4 linked regions of the Canis lupus familiaris genome follow. The protein of the gene in region 2 interacts with the protein of the main gene of each other region in a pairwise test. Links are inferred from orthologs where the notes say so. Each region holds a gene or a part of one and is shown on either strand. Other genes may lie near its edges.

Region 1 (4,531 bases), on a different chromosome or scaffold from region 2:
GTGTACGCATATATACATTTTTTTTTTTTAGTTTACCAACGTTTGATAACATTTACTCGTAATCATAATTCTCAATTTATTCAAGAAAATATACTGAAATGGATTGTTTTCTGTTTCTACAATTTCTCCATTTATTTCTCAAAAAGATTTTGCTTCAAGTTTTTACTTAAAGCTAAGATCCTTAAAGATCCCATTATAGTTAAGGCCTCACTGTGTCAATTATGGACGCAAAACACTGAGACAGTTATGATAGAAACACAAGGAATAAAACAGTGACTTAGGGACCCAAGTGTCACATTCAAGAATATCTTTAAAAATACCTTTTTTTTCTGTTTTCTACTGGGAGGGAGGTTGACATCAGTGAACTTTGCATCATATTTTCGTGGAAAATAAGAATGATTAACTAAAAAACAAAAAGAAACCTGTAAATATTTGCAACTATACAATTTTTAAATTTTATTTGTTCTAACATGTCACAAATACTTGAGTAAAAACTGCCGCTTTTAAGAAGAAGTTCAAATTAACAAAGATTAAGACTAGTCTACCAAATAAGTATTTTTCAAGTAAATATGTTGTTACATATTTACATGTAACAATTTACACGTCCATACATGCTTTAGGTGTCAAAGTAAAGAAAGAAATGGCCACTCAAACCTGATAAAATTTGTTACAGTTATTTCAAGCATTAGAAATGTAAATAATAAAATCCCAATACAGCACTTTCAGCATCAACTTTACAGCAGGAAAACAGAGTTGTGAAATACATTTTCTCTCACGTTCTTTCCTGTCTTATTGCCAAGACCCAACTCTGAAACCTTATCTTTCACCTAGATTACTAGCACAGGCTTCCAGACTGTCTTCTAGTTCGCAAGCCCTCTCTTCCAACAGACTCTACACATTTTCACCACAAAAATAATCCTCCAATGGTCACAATCCTGGAAAATCTATAAATGGCTTCCCAGAGCCCTTTAATGAGATCCCAGTTTATTTTCTCATCCTACTCTTCCCCCATACCCTCCACTTACTTTGCTTCACTCACACTAGAACAGAGCAGTTCTCAGAACTCCCCTTGTATTCACACCTCTTTGCCCATACCTAAAAAGTATCTCTTCATAAACCCTACACATCTCCCAACGCGCTTCTTCCAAAAGCCTTCCCCAAATTCCTCTACATGCCTCCATCGCCAGTCATGCTGTGCTGTGACTTATATTTATGAACCCGTCTCACTGGACTCAGGACTGTCTTAGAACATTCATATTCCCGGCATTCGGCAAGCAGTAAACGCTGATTTGGATTCGAGTTGATGTAAATTAAAGCTCATGCAGAATTGAAGGGTTTTAAGTGAACAATCTTGTGGCTTTAACTATGACCTATATGCTGATGACACCCAAATTCACAGCTCCAGACACCAATCTCCCCTGAAAAGTACAACCTAACAGCCTATTCGATATCTCCATTTGACACCAACATATTCCAAGCTCAACTCCCGGGTCTTCCTTCCAAATCTGTTCCATTCCCATCCTTCCACTTGTTGGGGGGGTGGGGGGCGGGGGCTTTGTTATTCTTGTCTTGACCTCACATCTTACATCTGATCCTGGAGCAAACCGTGTTGGTCCTTCCCTCCCCTCCAAACAGATCTAGAATCCAACACTTTCATCCATCCCCCGAGCTCCACCCTGGTGGCCCGAGTCCCCAGTATCTCTCACTTGGGTAACTCCAATACCTTCCTAACTCCTTTCCCTTTAGATCAATAACCATTAGCAGCCACATTAATCCTTCTAAAATGTAAATCAAGTCACGTCACTCCCTTGCACCACCCCCTATCACAAGAGCAAAAAGTCAAAGTCCCACTGTCTACAAGGCCCTAGCAGGTCGGCCCTCTTCCCCGATCTTCTACAGTTCTGTCCCCAGGCTTGTTCCTCTTGGCTTCGGTTCTGATCTACAGCTCCCGCCTCCAAGTCTTTGCACTTGCACTTCATTCTGCCTGCATCCCTATTCCCCCAGATGTCATCCACAAATGTATCCCTCACCTCCCTGTAGCCTTTGCTCCGAAGCTGACTCTTTACGACTGACACTTATTTTATTTATTCTTTAAAAAAAAAAAAAAAACGACTGACACTTAAAACTGCACTCCCTATCATTCCCCTTTGGCTCTCTATCTCGCCATGGCCCTCACTGCCTTCTAATACACACTGCTTTATTCCGTCTTCCTCCACCAGGAAACGTGAAGCTCCATAAAGGTAAGGATTTTTGTTATATTTCGATCACTGCTATATCCCCAGTTCCTGGTACACTGCTGGAATTCGATAAATAAGTCCTGAACAGGGAATGCCCAGGTGGCTCAGCGGTTTAGCGCCTGCCTTTGACCCAGGGCGTGACTCTGGAGACCCGGGATCGAGTCCCACGTCGGGCTCCCTGCATGGAGCCTGCTTCTCCCTCTGCCTGTGTCTCTGCCTCTGTGTGTGTGTGTGTGTGTGTGTGTGTGTGTGTGTGTGTCTCATGAATAAATAAACAAAATCTTTAAAAAGAAAAAATAAATAACTCCTGAACCGGACTGAATAGGCGGGGAAAACATTACTGTCCGACAAATTGTGAGACGTTGATGAGCAGACAGACTCCAGGACTGCAGGACAGAATCAGAAGTAGAGAAGAGGAAAAAGGGGAAAGTGGGAGAGGAAGGAAGGGGAGAAGAAAAGGAAAGTAAAGGGTGGTAAGGAGGGGGCGGGGGTAACAGCCTACCCGGAGTCTTCTGATGCCCCCGAAAAGCACCAGACGACTGTCTCCAGTACCATGATGTCGAAGCCTGGAAGTTCCAGGACGGCTGGCCGTTGAGGGGAGGCTGAGCATCAAGGGGGTACTGGGCGTCGAAGGGAGGCTGCGCCCCGGGGAGAATCTGGGCGTCGAAGGGAGGGGGCGCCTCGGGGAGCGCCTGGGCCTCCCGGGAGGGCCGCCCCTCCGAGGAAGGCTCCGACCCTCCCAGAGAAGGCGACGACGAAGGCGGCGGTGGCGGCGGCAGCATTGCCCAGAGCATCCAGTTGTCCCGCAGCGAGGCAGGGTCGCTCAGAGGCCCCAGCGCCGGGGTCAGCTCGGACGACGGAAACCACCCCGCAGAAGCCACGGAATCGCTAGCCGGCTCAGCCATGCCTCCCGCCAGGCAGCGAGCCGAGCGTGCGAATGCGGAACGGGCTTTAGGCGTCACTTCCGCCTTTCGCGACTTGCGCGGCTCCGCCAACCACAGGTTGCTACGTCATCGGCAGGCGCCGGAAAAAGGCGGGCGGCAAGTGCGGCGCGAGGAGCCGGGGCTGCCTCTTGGCCGACGGGAGTCTGTGTGGTTAGAGTCGTAGGGCCGGACGGTGTCCGCCCCCGCGGATGGCGAGGGATCTGATCGGGCCGGCGCTGCCGCCCGGCTTCAAGGCTCGCGGGACAGCGGAGGAGGAGGAGGAGCGAGACCGCAGCCCCGGTGAGCGGCGGCGCCTGACGCTGCCCGCCTGCCCGCCCCTTCCCGGGCCCGCCGTGAAGAGACGTCCGAGGCCTCGAAGGGCGGAGCAGGGGCAAGTGGGCGCGGCCGACCGCAGCTAACCTGGCTTCTCCAGCGGTAGCGGGAAGTGGAGGGGTGGGTGGCGGGGGGGCGGGGAGATGCTGGGAATCGTTACGACGATGGTGTCTTATTTAGCTCCTGATGGGCTGGAGCCTCCGCTGACGTTCGGTACACACTGTCGCTTCATCCTCCTAGCGACTGCGTAAGGTGGTTATTATATGTGTAAGATGATATCGTTAGGAAGTAAGATTGTTATTATTTCCATGCCACACACGGGGACCCCGAGGCCCGACCGCCGGGGCTCCTAACCTCCGTGCCCTTTTGCCTTCCCGGGCCCTTGCAGAAGATGCTCTGCAGAAGATGCTCCCACCCGCCCTCCTAGCCCCTGTTCCTGTCGTTGAATCCGACACGCACAGTCCAGTGCTGAAACCAGGCCCGAGTTTCTCTAGGCTCTTTCCGGCCTCGCTCGGCTTCTTGACACTCTCCGCCAAACTCCTACCCCGATCTCCAAGGCCCAGCGTGAATGTCAGCGAAGGCCTCAGGGAAGCTTTTCCAAACTCTCCCAAGAATTGACACGCCTTCCTTTTTTTATTTTTTTTCCTCCCCACGGGGTTTTCTTCTACTTAATTTTTTTTAAAGATTTTATTTATTTATGTGTCATGAGAGACAGAGATGTAGATAGAGATGCAGAGACACAGGCAGAGGGAGAAGCAGGCCCCATGCAGAGAGCCCGACGTGGGAGTCGATCCCGGGTCCCCAGGATCACGCCCTGGGTCAAAGGCGGGTGCTAAACCGCTGAGCCACCCGGGGATTCCCCTTAACACACTTTTAAAAAATGACTTGTGTCGTATCTTCCTGCACCGTTTACAGTAGGATCCTCTCGCTGTAACACACAGAGTGGGCACTTCGTATTTGCCAAATAAACGCTTCCTATTTATCTCCTTTAATGTTTGTTCTAATTTGCAGACTGGTTTTGACACCAAAATTGGAAAA
Region 2 (4,015 bases):
TGCTGTATAAAAGGAAGATAATATTGACCAGTGGGCTTAAAACAACTACAAATATTGATCTGCTTCCAGTACAAATGCTACATATATCTCAAAATGGTTTGCTGTAATTTCAAAGTGTGTTCACATGTTGGGTGTCTCAGTGTGTTTATTTATTTTAAGGATTTTTATTTACTTATACACGAGACGCAGAGGCAGAGGCATAGGCAGAGGGAGAAGGAGGCTCCCTGCAGGGAACCCAATGTGGGACTAGATCCCAGGATCACGCCCTGAGCCAAAGGCAGAGGCTCAACCACTGAGCCACCCAGGCATCCCTCAGTGTATGTTTTTTTTTAAAAGATTTTATTTATTTATTCATGAGAGACACAAAGAGAGAGAGAGAGAGAGAGAGAGAGAGAGAGAGAGGTCAGTGTATGTTTTAAATGTTTGGCTGTCAAGGATTTAGTGCTCTAACTTGGATCTATTCTCCTACACAGAAAATACAACCTTTTTATTTGATGTCCTGTTTTAATTATAAATATAATTATGAACACGCATCCTTTTAACCAATATGACCAGATTGCCAAATTCATGGGACACACTTTAAGTGGGGAATTACAAGGCCAACAGATAAATGCCTTACATCTTTGTAAAGCACACATATGTACATCATTTCATCATCTCTTTATCTCAATCTAAGGTCTTTTCTATTCCTTGGGAACTTGCCAATAGTTAACACTTACTTACAATTGCTATGACTCCTAAGGAATATTCTGTCATGAAGTTTCTGCTCTTAAAAAGCATCCCACTAATGTTGGTGTTGGTCCCAAACCAATCTGTAGTCAGTAAGGAACCCTAACTACTTAGACTAAGAACTGAGAGTTAAAGGAGCAGAGGAGACTATGGGTTCTGGGAATCAGACACCAGGGCTCAAATATCACTCTACTATATGTATGCTCACTATGTGACCACAGACAAAGGACTGAATCTTTCTAAAAGCTTCAGTTTACTCACCTAAAGAATAGAAAAATAAAACTACTTACCTCAGGGGCTGCTGAAAGATTAAATGAGATAACACAACACACACAAACCACTTAGCAACGGTGTCCGACATCCCCCAGGGGTAATTTTAAAATTATTTAACAATGGGGTCAGCATAGGTCATAACCAACTGAAATGGGATTCCCAGAATAGAGACTGGTTATAAACAAACAGCTGGCTGATTCAGCATGTACTAGCTGAGAGCATCATCAGCCCTCTCATATTACCTATGAGATAGACACCTTCTTTTCCTTACTTTCCACTCAAAGAGATCACCCTATCTCTGCAACTAAGGGGAAGAGGGATCAACAGGGTTTACTGAGGTCTCTCTCTCTCAGTATATTCCAGGATGTCCCTTTTCTTCAGGGAATTCGGGGAGAACCACCAACTTGGAACTAAGTCCTGATGAGCTGTCAAAGTCTTCACAAATGCTTAAGACCGCATATTCTCTAGGGAAATCTTTGTATACTTGTCATGAAAAACTAGGATTGCCCACAATGTAATGTTGAAAATCTTTCACATATACCAATTTTACAACTTTTGAATATGTTTAAAAATTAAAATAAACTTGTAAGTCTCAAACTACAGTAATTCAAATAATTTAGATGAAAAGTGGCACACAGGTTTACCTGGAGGGATCCATCAGCTGTTCTTCCTTTAGCCTCTCTTGGATTACGCGGGCGATTATCTGTTCGGGAGTGATCGTCATTTCCTATAGGTCATTTTTAAGACATTCAACAGTTACTGATTCTGACGTGCTTACTGGAAGTTCTTTATTCCCACATTCTCAACTTATTTAGAGCACAGAATCTAAAATATAATCAACAATCTAGTGATTCCAGGTACATAATGCTCAGAAATCTAGCATGGTACCAAGCAGGAGAAAATAGGCATTACAATTCTGCATCAATTATGTTACAGTCAGCCTGAGCTAATGATCACAGGTTATGCATAGAATCCCCAAAGAAGCTGAACTAGTCATCAGTGTTTATTTGTGTATTCTACACATACCATGGAAAGGCTAATGTTCTGTTGATTACTGCTGAGCCTTTCCTCTGGTGACCAGTATATAACAGGAAAAGAGGGTTTTAGTAATACGTCCTTGAATCACCACGATCTTTCACAGGACTTCAGACAGTTGTTAAAATTCACCTTTTATTATTAGAAAAGAACACCTCTGTACCTTTGAAGCCGCCTCCACGTCCTCTTCCTCCCTGTCCTCTTCCTCCACCACCACGTCGCCGTCCGTCTCCTCTGCGCAGAAAGTTCTCCCTCTCTTCCTCTGTTGGAGCTAATGACCAATCACTGAGTTCGTCTCTGTGGTCAGATTCTGTTTCAGAAGCATTTGATGCTTCAGAATTAGTTCCTATCAAGAGTTAAAAGTTATATACCGTTGTCCGACTTAAAAAAAAAAGTTAGGTTAACAGAAGCTTCCAGAGACGTTTCAGGGGCAATCCAATATTCTTCCCAATTTTACAAGCCCAAAGAGTATTATCACCTTCCATTTTGTAAAACAAATTATCTTAAATTCAAAATGAAGGGTTTCACAATATTTGAGGTAATTTTGATTTTAAATGTTTTTGGTTCTCGTTAAAAAAAAATAAAAGGTATTTTATTAGCCATCTAAGTTCAAACCTGAGTATGCCACATCATTAAACAGCTGTGCTCCTTTAAACATCTGCGCTCTCTGGAGGAAAAGTTGTCTACAACAGTTAAATGCAATACCTTGATAAACAAAACCTCTATAAAGAGAGTTCCTTTTAACAAGGTTTGGCCCAGGGACAGAGGGGAATGCATACATTTTGGTCACCTCTGAGAGGGTGGCAAAGGCCACCATGGCAACTGTGTCAGCGAAGGGTCTTTCGTGGGATGAGGGATTGAATTTAGCTGAAAGGGGATAGGCTTGCCTGATGCTTGGTCCACAACCTTCCCTCCCACTCCCACTGAAATAATTTATCATTAATAAAGGAATTATTAAGATAAACTCATTATGCATAGGGGGGTGGGTTAATGATATAGGGGGATGGGAGTGGGGGAATAGAGCTCTATGGTGAGGTGGGACTTCAACAGCAAAAAGAACAGACTGTTGGGAGAGGGGTTAGGGGTTAGGTTCAAGGTTGGCCTTAGGAGTAGGTGTCTCTCTCCCCCACTCCAGAATATCAACTCTACTACCTCTCTCTCTTCCTCTGTTGGAGCTAATGACCAATTATAGCTTCACCATTATAGCTTCTTTCCTGTGGATCTTGAAGGCTTTTCCATCTTAAAGAGTTCCTTTTTGAAATGCAAATATTTGTGAGATGGATTATACCTTATACCATCATTAGCAAGTTACATAGTAGATACACAGTTGAGCAAGAAAGACAGTAGGAACTGGCAGGTGGGGACAGTGTTCAATGGAAGGTACTGGGAGAGAAGAAAGAAGCACTGACAGAAAAGCTGGGAAGGCAAAGAGAAGCTTTGCCTACTTCTTGACTGTGCCTGGGGCTGACTTTGGCCATGACACTCAAAATCACCTTATGAGCCATAGGATGCAGAGCCCTGATTTACACAGTCCATCCAGCAAGTATGACCAGCACATGCCTGACAAAAAAATGAGCCACAGTACACAAATGAAAAAAATTTTGGCTATACAGTAATAAAATCAGGAAAGGCCTTAAGAAAGTCATCAACACACAAGGGCTTAAGCAGATTTATCCCCAGTCAGAACGTGGACAGAACTCACACCTGCCCTGTAAACTCTGTGTGTTATTATCATGTTTTAACTCTATATGTCTCTTGCAACACAATTTGACCCACTGTGAATCGGAAACCATGTAGTGAGAAACCGTTATAATGGGGTTCTAATGAATATTAGAGATTAGCAGCTATTAAGTCTAGGAACAGATAAAGTTACTGAGTAAAATGCTTAGTTTGTACCTGAAGTATATCCAGGACCGCGTCTGCCGTGCCCCCTATTTCTGTAAGGTCTACTACCTCGACCCATTCCTTGACCATCATC
Region 3 (4,717 bases), on a different chromosome or scaffold from region 2:
AATGTCCAGAAAAAAACAACCTATATAGTAACCAGATTACCCATCTAAAATAACCCTCTGCCTCTCCCCATCAAATAAATAAATCTTTAAAAAGGTGGGGGGGTGTGCAACAGTGGGTGCTATTATTTGACACAGGCCTTCTAGTACTCTCGACTTGTTCAGAGCAAGTCAGATACGCTTTGATAAAAAAAATTCAATTTTTAAAAACCAAATTCTATTATTTTATAACCGTAGTTTGTTCTACACAAACCCAGCCCCCAATGGGTGAGAAGGGGGAGGTGGCAGGGACCAAGCAGGCATGTAGCAGGGGGGCCCAGGCCTGGGCAAGGCCTCCCTAATACCTCCTGGGTCAGAGGAGGCCAAAAGCTCGTGAAGGCAGCACCCAGAGTAGACCAGGCTACATCCCGGGAATCTCTGTCCTCAAGGCCCAAAAGTGACTCTTTTGCAAGATTCTCAGAGAGACAGCAGTTTCCCATCTGCCACCAATGGCTACTGAGCTGAGAAAGTGGGAACAGAGTAGAAGGCAGGTCACATTTATGTCTGTGGCAAGCTTCCTTTGGAGCCTACAGAAAAACCAGTGACTGACCCGTCACAAAGTAAACTGTCCCCACTGCTCAGAGTCACAGCTGATAGAATGTCACCAAAGCAGCTTCATCTACAAGAACCACAAAAATGTTCAGTACCACTGGCAGAGTGTCTCGGGGACATGAACAACTGCTAGGTACAAAACAACATCTTCTACTTCGTATTTATTAAATGCCGGGCAATGTTTGGGGCATTCTGGTTAATCCTCACAGTGACCTACACATTTTACACTCTCACTTGCCAGATGAGGAAGCTGAGGCCCAGAGAGCTTACCAAGTAACTCGCTGCTGAGCAGGGAGGCTTACATTTGGGTTCACCAGGCCACTAGCATCCCATGGACTTGCAGACTTTCCACTAAAATTCACATTCCACTTGCACCAGTACCCCAGGCCGACAGTTTTGTGCATTTGACCCTATGACACATGTTGTACTTGGTGCTGACAGCAGTGAAAAAGCAGGCTGAGATCCTGTCCTCACAGTGTGGTGTCTGGCTAGCAGTGAGATAGAGGACGACGAATGGGCAAACCCATGATTACAGATGGTGAGCGGAGCTGAGAAGGGAAGGAGCGCATTGATACAGCAGAGAACAGGGTGCATCTACTGAGGGGCATGCCCGGGAAGGCCTCTCTGAGGAGTTCAGGCCTCAGCTCCGCAGTCAGGAAAATAAGCCTGCCCCAGGGGAGGGAGGTGGCTCACCCCTTCTAGGACCTCACCCCCACCTCCAAAGCACCCAGTACCTGGACAATATAGAGGCAGGGGCAGTACTGGGCCCCTCCTCCGATGCTGATCCCGATCAGGTTCTGAGCATCCTTCTGTAGGGTCACCTTCCCAGGCACAGTAGGGATTCCACTAGAAAGAGAAGCACATGTGGCCGAATCTCCTGGGAGGATTCCTTAAAGGGGACGAGGAAGGAAGCCCCTGAGAGGCTCCAAGTGCTGCTCAGCTTTTTCTTTTCTCAATTGGCCAAAAAGACAGTGTCTGGCGCTGGCACATGTGCAGCTCTTAGGAGTCCTGCAGATGCAGGATCAGATCCCGGCTCTGCCACTGACCATCTACAGGACTTGGATAAGTAAGTCACCTCTGTGCATCTCAGTTCCCTCAGCCATAAAATGGTATGGATGGAAATGGCTTGCTACTTGGTGAAAATTCTTATAAGAAAGCACACGAAAGGCACTTAACACCAGTCCAGCCCAGAGCAGGCACTCCATGAAAACAGATTCCCCCTTCCCTCTCCTTCATCCTGTCTCTGAGGCCTGATCCAGACTCTGTCCTTCTCACCTTCTCAGGCACAGGTGGAACATTATGGCCACTTGCTCCAGGAAGCCTTCTCCTCTTAAATTATCCATCACCCATCTCTCAGTTGCTCTGCTCAATTACCTCTCAATTTTCAGTATAAACCAGCACTTGTTTATGTTCTGCTGTAAATATTTGCCTCCATTCACTTATTCATTCAACAAACCAGCAACCTACTGATGGTGAGTCGAGCACCATACTAAGTGCTGAGGATGCAGGCAGTGGACTGATGGAGGGCAGATTTTAGTTGAGAGACTAACAATTTCTGAAAATCTGTCCTACTAATTACCTATACTGGGAAGGAAAGTATGTTTACAATACTCCCATTCACCTTCAAAACCTGGCTCCACTGCCACCTCCTTTTTGAAGCCTTCCCTGAACACCCCAATCAAGAGACTGCTCCTCTGCTCTCTCCTTGTAGCCAGGCCATTCTCCATTAGTACCCACGTGGCCCTGACTTGTCATCTGCTAGGGTGTCCGCAGCCCCCTACAGATGGTGAGCTCCTGGAAGGGCAGGGTCCATTTCTACTATAGAACAAGACCTACTTAACCCCCGCTGAGAAGCAAGGGTCTGTGGAGCTGGGAAGTCTGGGGATCTGGAGGCCCCGGGGCTCGTGCATTCCTGGGACTTGGAAGGAACAAAATACTCACAGTTTATCCTCCTCGATGTCATAATCCAAGTCTGCAAACATGGTTCCGAGAGTTGAGGTGGGCTGGCTGACTGCCCAGCTCGGCAGGGGAATGGGGAACTGGACCAGGGAGAGAAAAGAGCGTAGGGTTCAGGGACCCGAAGTGCCTAGATGTCAACCTCCACCCGGGGGATACGGGGGGAGCCGGACCCTCCCCTGTCCCTCTGGACGGTGGGGGTAGTCCCCGAGGTTGGGGGGCGGGAAGGGACGGGATTCTTACTAGGTAGAGGGGGGAGTTCCAGGCCAGGGCGGTGAGCTCACACCCCAGAGCCCGCCCCACGGATCTCCAGGCCCTTGGGAGCCACCTCTGTCGCTCACCGGAAGCGTCGGTCCCACAGCCGGGTCCAGGCCAGGCTGGCACCTGAAGCCACCTGCCGTTCCACCTGTCGGCGGCCGCGACTGTCGCGTCACTTCCTCTTTTACGCGGAAGTCCCGCCTACCTGACCACCCGGGTATTGGCCCCAGTTCTTGCAGACAACCCTCCCTCCCTGGCTCCGGGCTCTCCCAGAGCCAGAAAAGAGCCCAAGTATTGACGGAAGCTCGCCGTTAGCACGAGAAAGCGGAAACAGAGGAAAGGTCTGGAAGGGCCGACGACGCTCAACCCCGCCCTCTGCCCCGTGGCCGCCGCCATCTTGGTGAGGGCAGGGCTCTTCCCAGCTTCCTCCGCGGGACGCCGGGGACCACGCCGGCCGAGCGGTTGCCGTGGCAACGGAAGCATCCTTGGGCGCGGAGGCTTCCGGCGAAGTTCAGTGGAATGCAAACCTTTTCATGTTTTTAGCACCTTGGCCTAGGGTGCTGAGTCTCCTCTACTAGGATGTCAGCCTCCGAACTGGAAGGACCCTTCGAGGCTACTCTCAGTCTGCGACCAGGAAACTGCCAAAAAAGAGAAGAGATTTTGTCCAGAGCCGCCCACCGTTGGTATAAGGTCAAGATCTTGACCCTGAGACTCCTGCCACCTAGTGCAGCGCCCCTTTAACGCCTGCACACTTGTATTCAGTGGCTCTGTTAACAGATTGGGCAAGTTACCTGCCGTTGCCTTTATGTGCCCCCTTTCGCCGTATGCAAACAAAGAGCACTGAGGCAGATGCTTTCTATGGTATTTGGTGAGAGACTCCTCACACCTCATCTCTGTCTTTAGTCCTGAGGAGCAGCCCCCCTGAGGCCCACGGAGGATCACAGCTTCCTTCCAGGGGCGGCGGAGGAAGGAGCCCCACCCCACCCCGCACCCCCTCTTTAGGAAGCCCATCGGAGTCCCGGTAAATGTGCAGAATGCCACAGTAGCGGGGACCTTTCCATGTACCCACTGCTCTGCAGCTCAGGTGACTCACAGGGCCTCAGAGTTCACCATGACCCTGTGAGAGGAGGACATGGGTTGTCAGCCACATTGTGCAGGTAAGGAAACAGGCACAGAGAAGCAGCTTCTCCTCGTCTCACAGTCAGTGGCAGAGCTAGGGCTGGAACTTCCAAACCCTGTTCAGGCCAGGATTTTAATTTTAAAAAGCAGCAACTGGGGCACTTGGATGTCTTAGTTGGCTAAGCATCTGATTCTTGATTTCCACTCAGGTCATGATCTCACGGTCATGGGATAGAGCCCCGCCTCTGGCTCCTTGCTCAACTCAAAGTCTGCTTGAGATTCTCTCTCTCCCTCTGACCCTTCCCCTCCCACATGTGCTGTCTTGTTCTCTCTCTCTCTCTCTCAAAATAAATAAATCTTTAAGAAGAAGAAGAAGAAGAAGAAGAAGAAGAAGAAGAAGAAGAAGAAGAAGAAGAAGAAGAAGAAGAAGAAGAAGAAAACGACACCAGCCTCCAAAGCCAGACACTTTAACAGGAACTGTGACTCCTCCACCCATGACTCTTAGCTCAAGCCCATGTTCTGCCATTTTATAACTGGGTGATCTTGGGTAAGTCACTGCCTGGCTCTGAGCTTCAGAAATCCATAGACCAGGGGAAAATGATCCTCCCAACAGGTACTTGTGAAGGTCAAGATGAAGAGGTCCATCTGACCTGCCTGATTGGGACATTTGCTTTATTGCGGTGTTCTGGAGCCAAGCCCCATGTCTCCGGGGCCTGCTTGTACAGAGAATAAGATCTGCCCCCGACCTCGGGAGGGACTTTCTGCCTGGAAAGATAAGAAGTGCTTACTCTGGTGA
Region 4 (4,795 bases), on a different chromosome or scaffold from region 2:
CATGAACCGTATTCTTAAATATATAAATATAATAGCACTTTATTATGTACTAGACATTCTGCTTAACATGTTCATGCATCCCTCATTCAATTAGAGCATCCAGTATTGAATACCAGCTCCTTCCCCACTACCACTGACCTCCCAGTCACTGCCCAGCAACATGCTCTACTACCAAGGCAGGGTCTATCCTCTATGCCCTAGACATGGGTTTGCTCTTTAGAAGGACAAGACCAAAGGCCTGTTACAAAGACTCCAATGAGGTGACTGATGTCTTGTTTCATCAACTACGAGTGAATAATTAATACTTGCTAGTAAAGAAATAGATGCATTGTTATGGTGGCCACATGGAGGCTACAAAAGGCCATTTTGTGAAGCTCTTGGTAGAACCCTGGGGCCAACAGCAGCCAAAAGAAACCTCTTTGAGAGTGTAGGCCGATTCTCAAATGTAGGGACTGGAGCCCTGTACTGTTTTCCAGGAGTGCTGTTTCCAATGCTAATTAGCTCATTGCCTATTCATCACCTCATTCAGCTTGCTGGTCAATGACAGCAGAGAAGGCCCACTGAACACCCAAGAGGGCACAATTTATCAGAGGGTACATGTAGTGTTCTCCTGGGGCCCTTTTCCAGATTTTATTTTATTTTATTTTTATTTATTTTTTTAATGATATATATATATATTTTTTAAATTTTATTTATTTATGATAGGCACACAGAGAGAGAGAGAGAGAGGCAGAGACATAGGCAGAGGGAGAAGCAGGCTCCATGCACCGGGAGCCCAACGCGGGATTCGATCCTGAGTTCCCAGGATCACACCCTGGGCCAAAGACAGGCACTAAACCGCTGCGCCACCCAGGGATCCCCCCCTTTTCCAGATTTTAAATTTTAAATGCCTACTTCCTTTTCTGGGCCAGCCTCTGATTTGATTCGAGAAAAAACTCTTGAACTCTCTTGGATCATATACCCCATTCTTGGCCTAACGGCTAAAGCAAGTTTTTCAGTTTCTACTTTCAGCAGAGACTAAACAGGGCAGGCTTGGGTGCCTACAGAACTGGTCAGAACTTACCAGGAAATATAATAACGAAGCTTAGTGAGCTGACAGCTAATGCCCCCCGCCAGAGGCTCAGTGTTCAGAACTAGGCAAAGCACTGGCTTTGTAAGCAACAACACACTCTTCTTGTGGCTCAGTAACTGGCCAGGCAGATGGCAGCCAGTACCACTGAATAACTCTCTATAGCAAAGTTTCACCTCCCCCAAGTGGATACTGGGTGCACCACAGATACCTTCCAGTGCCAGGAACCCCTGGACAGTTACACAGACACACACTCCAATGGCATTTCTGCCCCAGCAGCAAACATTGCTGACAGATGCTAGATACTGTCATTTCAGTGACTGTTCCCCAACATTGCTACCCAGTTCCCCATTCCCACTTCCAGTCTACTGCCTGAAATTCCACCATTAGAGATAGCAAATAGGTTGACTTAAAGCTTTGTTTTCCATTCAAATGCCTCCCAGCCTCTGTTTCCTTTCCAGTTAAACGACTTCTAAAGGACCTGCTCTGCATCAAATTTCAAATTCTTTTGTATTTAGCTCTTAAGGATAAACATGTTCACTGGCTCCTCTCTTGAAAATAATTTTTGACATAGGAGACTAGGGGAAGCACAGAACATGGAGCTGGAGCTGGAGATGGGAGGCCTCAGGGAGAGTCACAGAGAAAACTGCCTCCAAGGCCTCTGCAATCCTGCCCAGGGATATGGTCCTAGAATTTTGCCCTCCAACATCTGTGATCTCCAGGGTTACCGGCATGGCCTCCCACAGGGCCAGTGCCTAAGGGTAAGTAAGATAAGACAACCTGCCCTAAGAGGGACAGGGTAGGAGTTAGAAAAGAGGAGTATGAGAACCAGCACTCTGATTTGTCCCTCATGCCCGCAGGACTGCCCCAGTCTCCTTACCCATGCCAGGAAGGCACAGGCACCCGAGAGCTAGCTGGGAAAGACCCCTGCCACCTTCTTGTCCTGGCTGGAAGGGGAGCAGATGGCCCATCAGCTCTAGGTGAGTGCTTCGGCTCAACTGGAGACAGTAGGCAAGCAGAGGTCAAAGGCAGGTTCCTGGAGCTGAGGAGGGCCAGGGCAGTCCCAGGGTCCTTTCCTGCCAGGGTCTCCGCAGTACAGAGAACCGTCCTCCTGTCTGACCGTGACCAGGCTTCCTGCCCCCGTCCCCACCCCCACCTCTAAACAGAGAGCACTCCCTCCTCTTCCTTTCCACCCATCCATCGAGGGGGCGGGCTGTCCTGAAAAGCAGAAGCCACAACAGACAGGTAGGCGATCCTCCTGATGTCTTCAGGGCTCAAGAGAAATCCAACCTTTTCCCCAGGACTCGGCGCACTCGTCCCCTTCCCCGTGTCCTCCCCCGCCCACAGGCAGCCGGGAGGCAGAGGATGCCAGCGTAGGCCCGCAGGCTTCCAAGCGGTCCGGCTTCCTCCCGCCTCGCTAAAGCCCCGCACCCCCGGTCGCCGGCGGCCCCCCCGCCCCACCCATGTCGCGCCCAGCGCAGGGCGCTGCTGTCCCCGGCGGCCGCCAGGCGGGCCCACGCGCCTCTCGCTGGCCCTGGAGGAGGGGATGGGCCGAGGCGGCGGAGGCGGCGGCCGGCGCTCCGCAGTACCTGGGCTCCGGGGGTCGCCGCCGCTGGGCTCGCGGCCCCCGCAGGTGTCTCCCGGCCGGGATCAGCGCCGCTCCGTCTCCGGCCCGCGGCTTCGGCCCAGGCCGCGCACCTGCTGCTGCCGCCGCCGCCGCCGCCGCCGCCGCCGCGCCCGAGCTGCGTCGCGTGTCCGCGCCTCCTCGCCCCGGGTCCGCGCCGCGGGGCCGGGATGGGCCGGAGCCGGCAGGGGCCGCGCGGGGCCTGCAGCCCTGCCCCAGGGGCTCCGGGTCCCCCAGGCCGCGCCAGCCGGGGCGCCGCGCCGAGCGCCCCCCCTCGGGCTGGGTGGAGGGGCGCCGGCCCCCCGCGCATCCTCGCGGCCGCACCGGCGTCCCCCGCAGCATCCCGGCGCCCAGGCCGGCGCCCAGGCCCGCGAGCGCCGCGCCGCTTACCTGCGTCGGCGGCAGGTCCAGGCGAGCGGCCCGAGGCTGCCGGGGGCCCCGCGCCGGGGCGCAGGATGCTCTGCCCGCTCCGCCCGGCTCCGCTCGGCTCCCGCGGCCGCCGCGCTCGGCCCCGCCCCCGCCCCCGGGCCCGCCCCGCCCCGCCCCGCCCCCCGCGCCCGGCTCGCGGCTCGCGGCTCCCGGCTCCGGCTCCGGCTCCTCCCCCGCGCGGGGCCGGCCCTCCGCCGCCGCCGCCGCCGTCACACAAAGAGCAGGAAATGGCTGCGGCGAGGGGCTCCCGGGGCGCCCGACCTGCCGCGCGGCTCCTGCCCCAGGACGACCGGCCGCGCGGCCCGCGTAAGGGACGGAGGCGGCACCTGCGCTCAGGTCTCGCTCGCCGGGAGCCACACCTGCCGCCGGCGGGGAGGGCGGCCCTGGGCTGCGCTCGGAGCTCATCGACCTCACTCTCTATTTCCAAGCGCTCATTTATCTACCTAATATTTATTGAGCAGCTACTTTGTTCCGAGCCCCGTGCCAGAAGCTGAGTATGCACCGGTGTACTGCCCTTTTGGAGCTTCTTGCCTACCAGGGGAGATGGGGCACGCATTAACCTGGCCAACGCGCACTGACAGCGGGAAGAAGTGCCGTGAAGGAAAGAACCGGGCAAAGTGATGGGAAATACAGCTGAGGCTGGGGCGAGGGGGCCCCAACCCATTGATTCTGGCCCCCAGTGCCGCTCCTCTGCTCAGGAATACCTTCTCCGGACAAACATTATATGTTCTCATTCATTTGGGGAATATAAATAATAGTGAAAGGGAATATAAGGGAAGGGGGAAGAAACGTGTGGGAAATATCAGAAAGGGAGACAGAACGTAAAGACTGCTAACTCTGGGAAACGAACTAGGGGTGGTGGAAGGGGAGGAGGGCGGGGGGTGGGAGTGAATGGGTGACGGGCACTGGGGGTTATTCTGTATGTTAGTAAATTGAACACCAATAAAAAATAAATTAAAAAAAAAAAAAAAAGGAATACCTTCTCCGTTCCTTGGAGCCAACCCCCGGAAGGTGCCATCTCCTAAGGAGGCTCTGCCTCGACTTCATTGAGGGAGAATTGCCTAATGGACAAAAGGGAAAATGCGTGGCAACAGGAAGCCTTGTTCTGCGTTGAGGGCTGTTCAAAGGAACAGTCCTCACTGAACTGCAGCCTCGTGGGCCCTCAGATCCAACCTTGAGACCCCCTACCCAAGTCACTTCAACACTGTTCCTGAGAAGCCACTGTGTCTATAACGTGAGGGTAATGCTTGCCCTTCCTACTTCACAGGGTAAACACTGGAAAGCATTCGAGACGTTTTAAAGTGTGTACAGATACAAAGAATTAAGTCCTGTTACAAGGGAAGCTTTCTGGAGTGTTTGCCCAGGGCCCACAAATTTATACTTAATCACTCAGCTATTCCTATTTAGGGGCTAATTATAGAGGGGCGTATTACTGGAGTCTCTGGCAAAGGACTTGAGGAATCTTTGCCCTCATGGATCTCACACCACTTCCCAAACCCTCAGAATTCATGATCCTTTATGGTTTGATGTTACATCACTCACTCCAATTTAAATTGCTATTTCAGAAAGGATGACTTATATATATATGTACACACACACATTTCTTCCCTGTGAGAAAGCTGTGGAGGTGTTTGTGGAGGATGGCTTTAAAAACCGAACTGAGTTTCTCTTTT

The links. The genes of interacting proteins can lie anywhere in the genome.
Region 1: the proteins of FMR1 (region 2) and NUFIP1 interact in a two-hybrid assay, tested with the Homo sapiens proteins (2 studies listed by BioGRID). The link is inferred for Canis lupus familiaris from reciprocal best matches to the Homo sapiens genes FMR1 and NUFIP1.
Region 3: the proteins of FMR1 (region 2) and PICK1 interact in a two-hybrid assay, tested with the Homo sapiens proteins (2 studies listed by BioGRID and IntAct). The link is inferred for Canis lupus familiaris from reciprocal best matches to the Homo sapiens genes FMR1 and PICK1.
Region 4: the proteins of FMR1 (region 2) and CYFIP2 interact in a two-hybrid assay, tested with the Homo sapiens proteins (2 studies listed by BioGRID and IntAct). The link is inferred for Canis lupus familiaris from reciprocal best matches to the Homo sapiens genes FMR1 and CYFIP2.

What each region holds. Positions count from the first base shown.
Region 1 is NC_049243.1:6,004,957-6,009,487, reverse strand, and holds the start of NUFIP1 (nuclear fragile X mental retardation-interacting protein 1), read right to left. Parts: upstream 3,191-4,531; 5' UTR 3,143-3,190; coding exon 2,740-3,142; intron 404-2,739; coding exon 321-403; intron 1-320. Other genes in the region: GPALPP1 (GPALPP motifs-containing protein 1), read left to right, coding at 3,370-3,460. UniProt on the Homo sapiens protein: Binds RNA.
Region 2 is NC_049260.1:117,389,691-117,393,705, reverse strand, and holds part of FMR1 (synaptic functional regulator FMR1), read right to left. Parts: coding exon 3,934-4,015; intron 3,213-3,933; coding exon of another isoform or gene 3,025-3,212; exon of another isoform or gene 2,384-3,024; coding exon 2,201-2,383; intron 1,730-2,200; coding exon 1,647-1,729; intron 1-1,646.
Region 3 is NC_049231.1:27,611,608-27,616,324, forward strand, and holds the start of PICK1 (PRKCA-binding protein), read right to left. Parts: upstream 3,191-4,717; 5' UTR 2,788-3,190; intron 2,628-2,787; 5' UTR 2,571-2,627; coding exon 2,530-2,570; intron 1,435-2,529; coding exon 1,323-1,434; intron 1-1,322. UniProt on the Homo sapiens protein: Probable adapter protein that bind to and organize the subcellular localization of a variety of membrane proteins containing some PDZ recognition sequence.
Region 4 is NC_049225.1:53,777,117-53,781,911, forward strand, and holds the start of CYFIP2 (cytoplasmic FMR1-interacting protein 2), read right to left. Parts: upstream 3,191-4,795; 5' UTR 3,084-3,190; intron 1-3,083. UniProt on the Homo sapiens protein: Involved in T-cell adhesion and p53/TP53-dependent induction of apoptosis. Does not bind RNA. As component of the WAVE1 complex, required for BDNF-NTRK2 endocytic trafficking and signaling from early endosomes.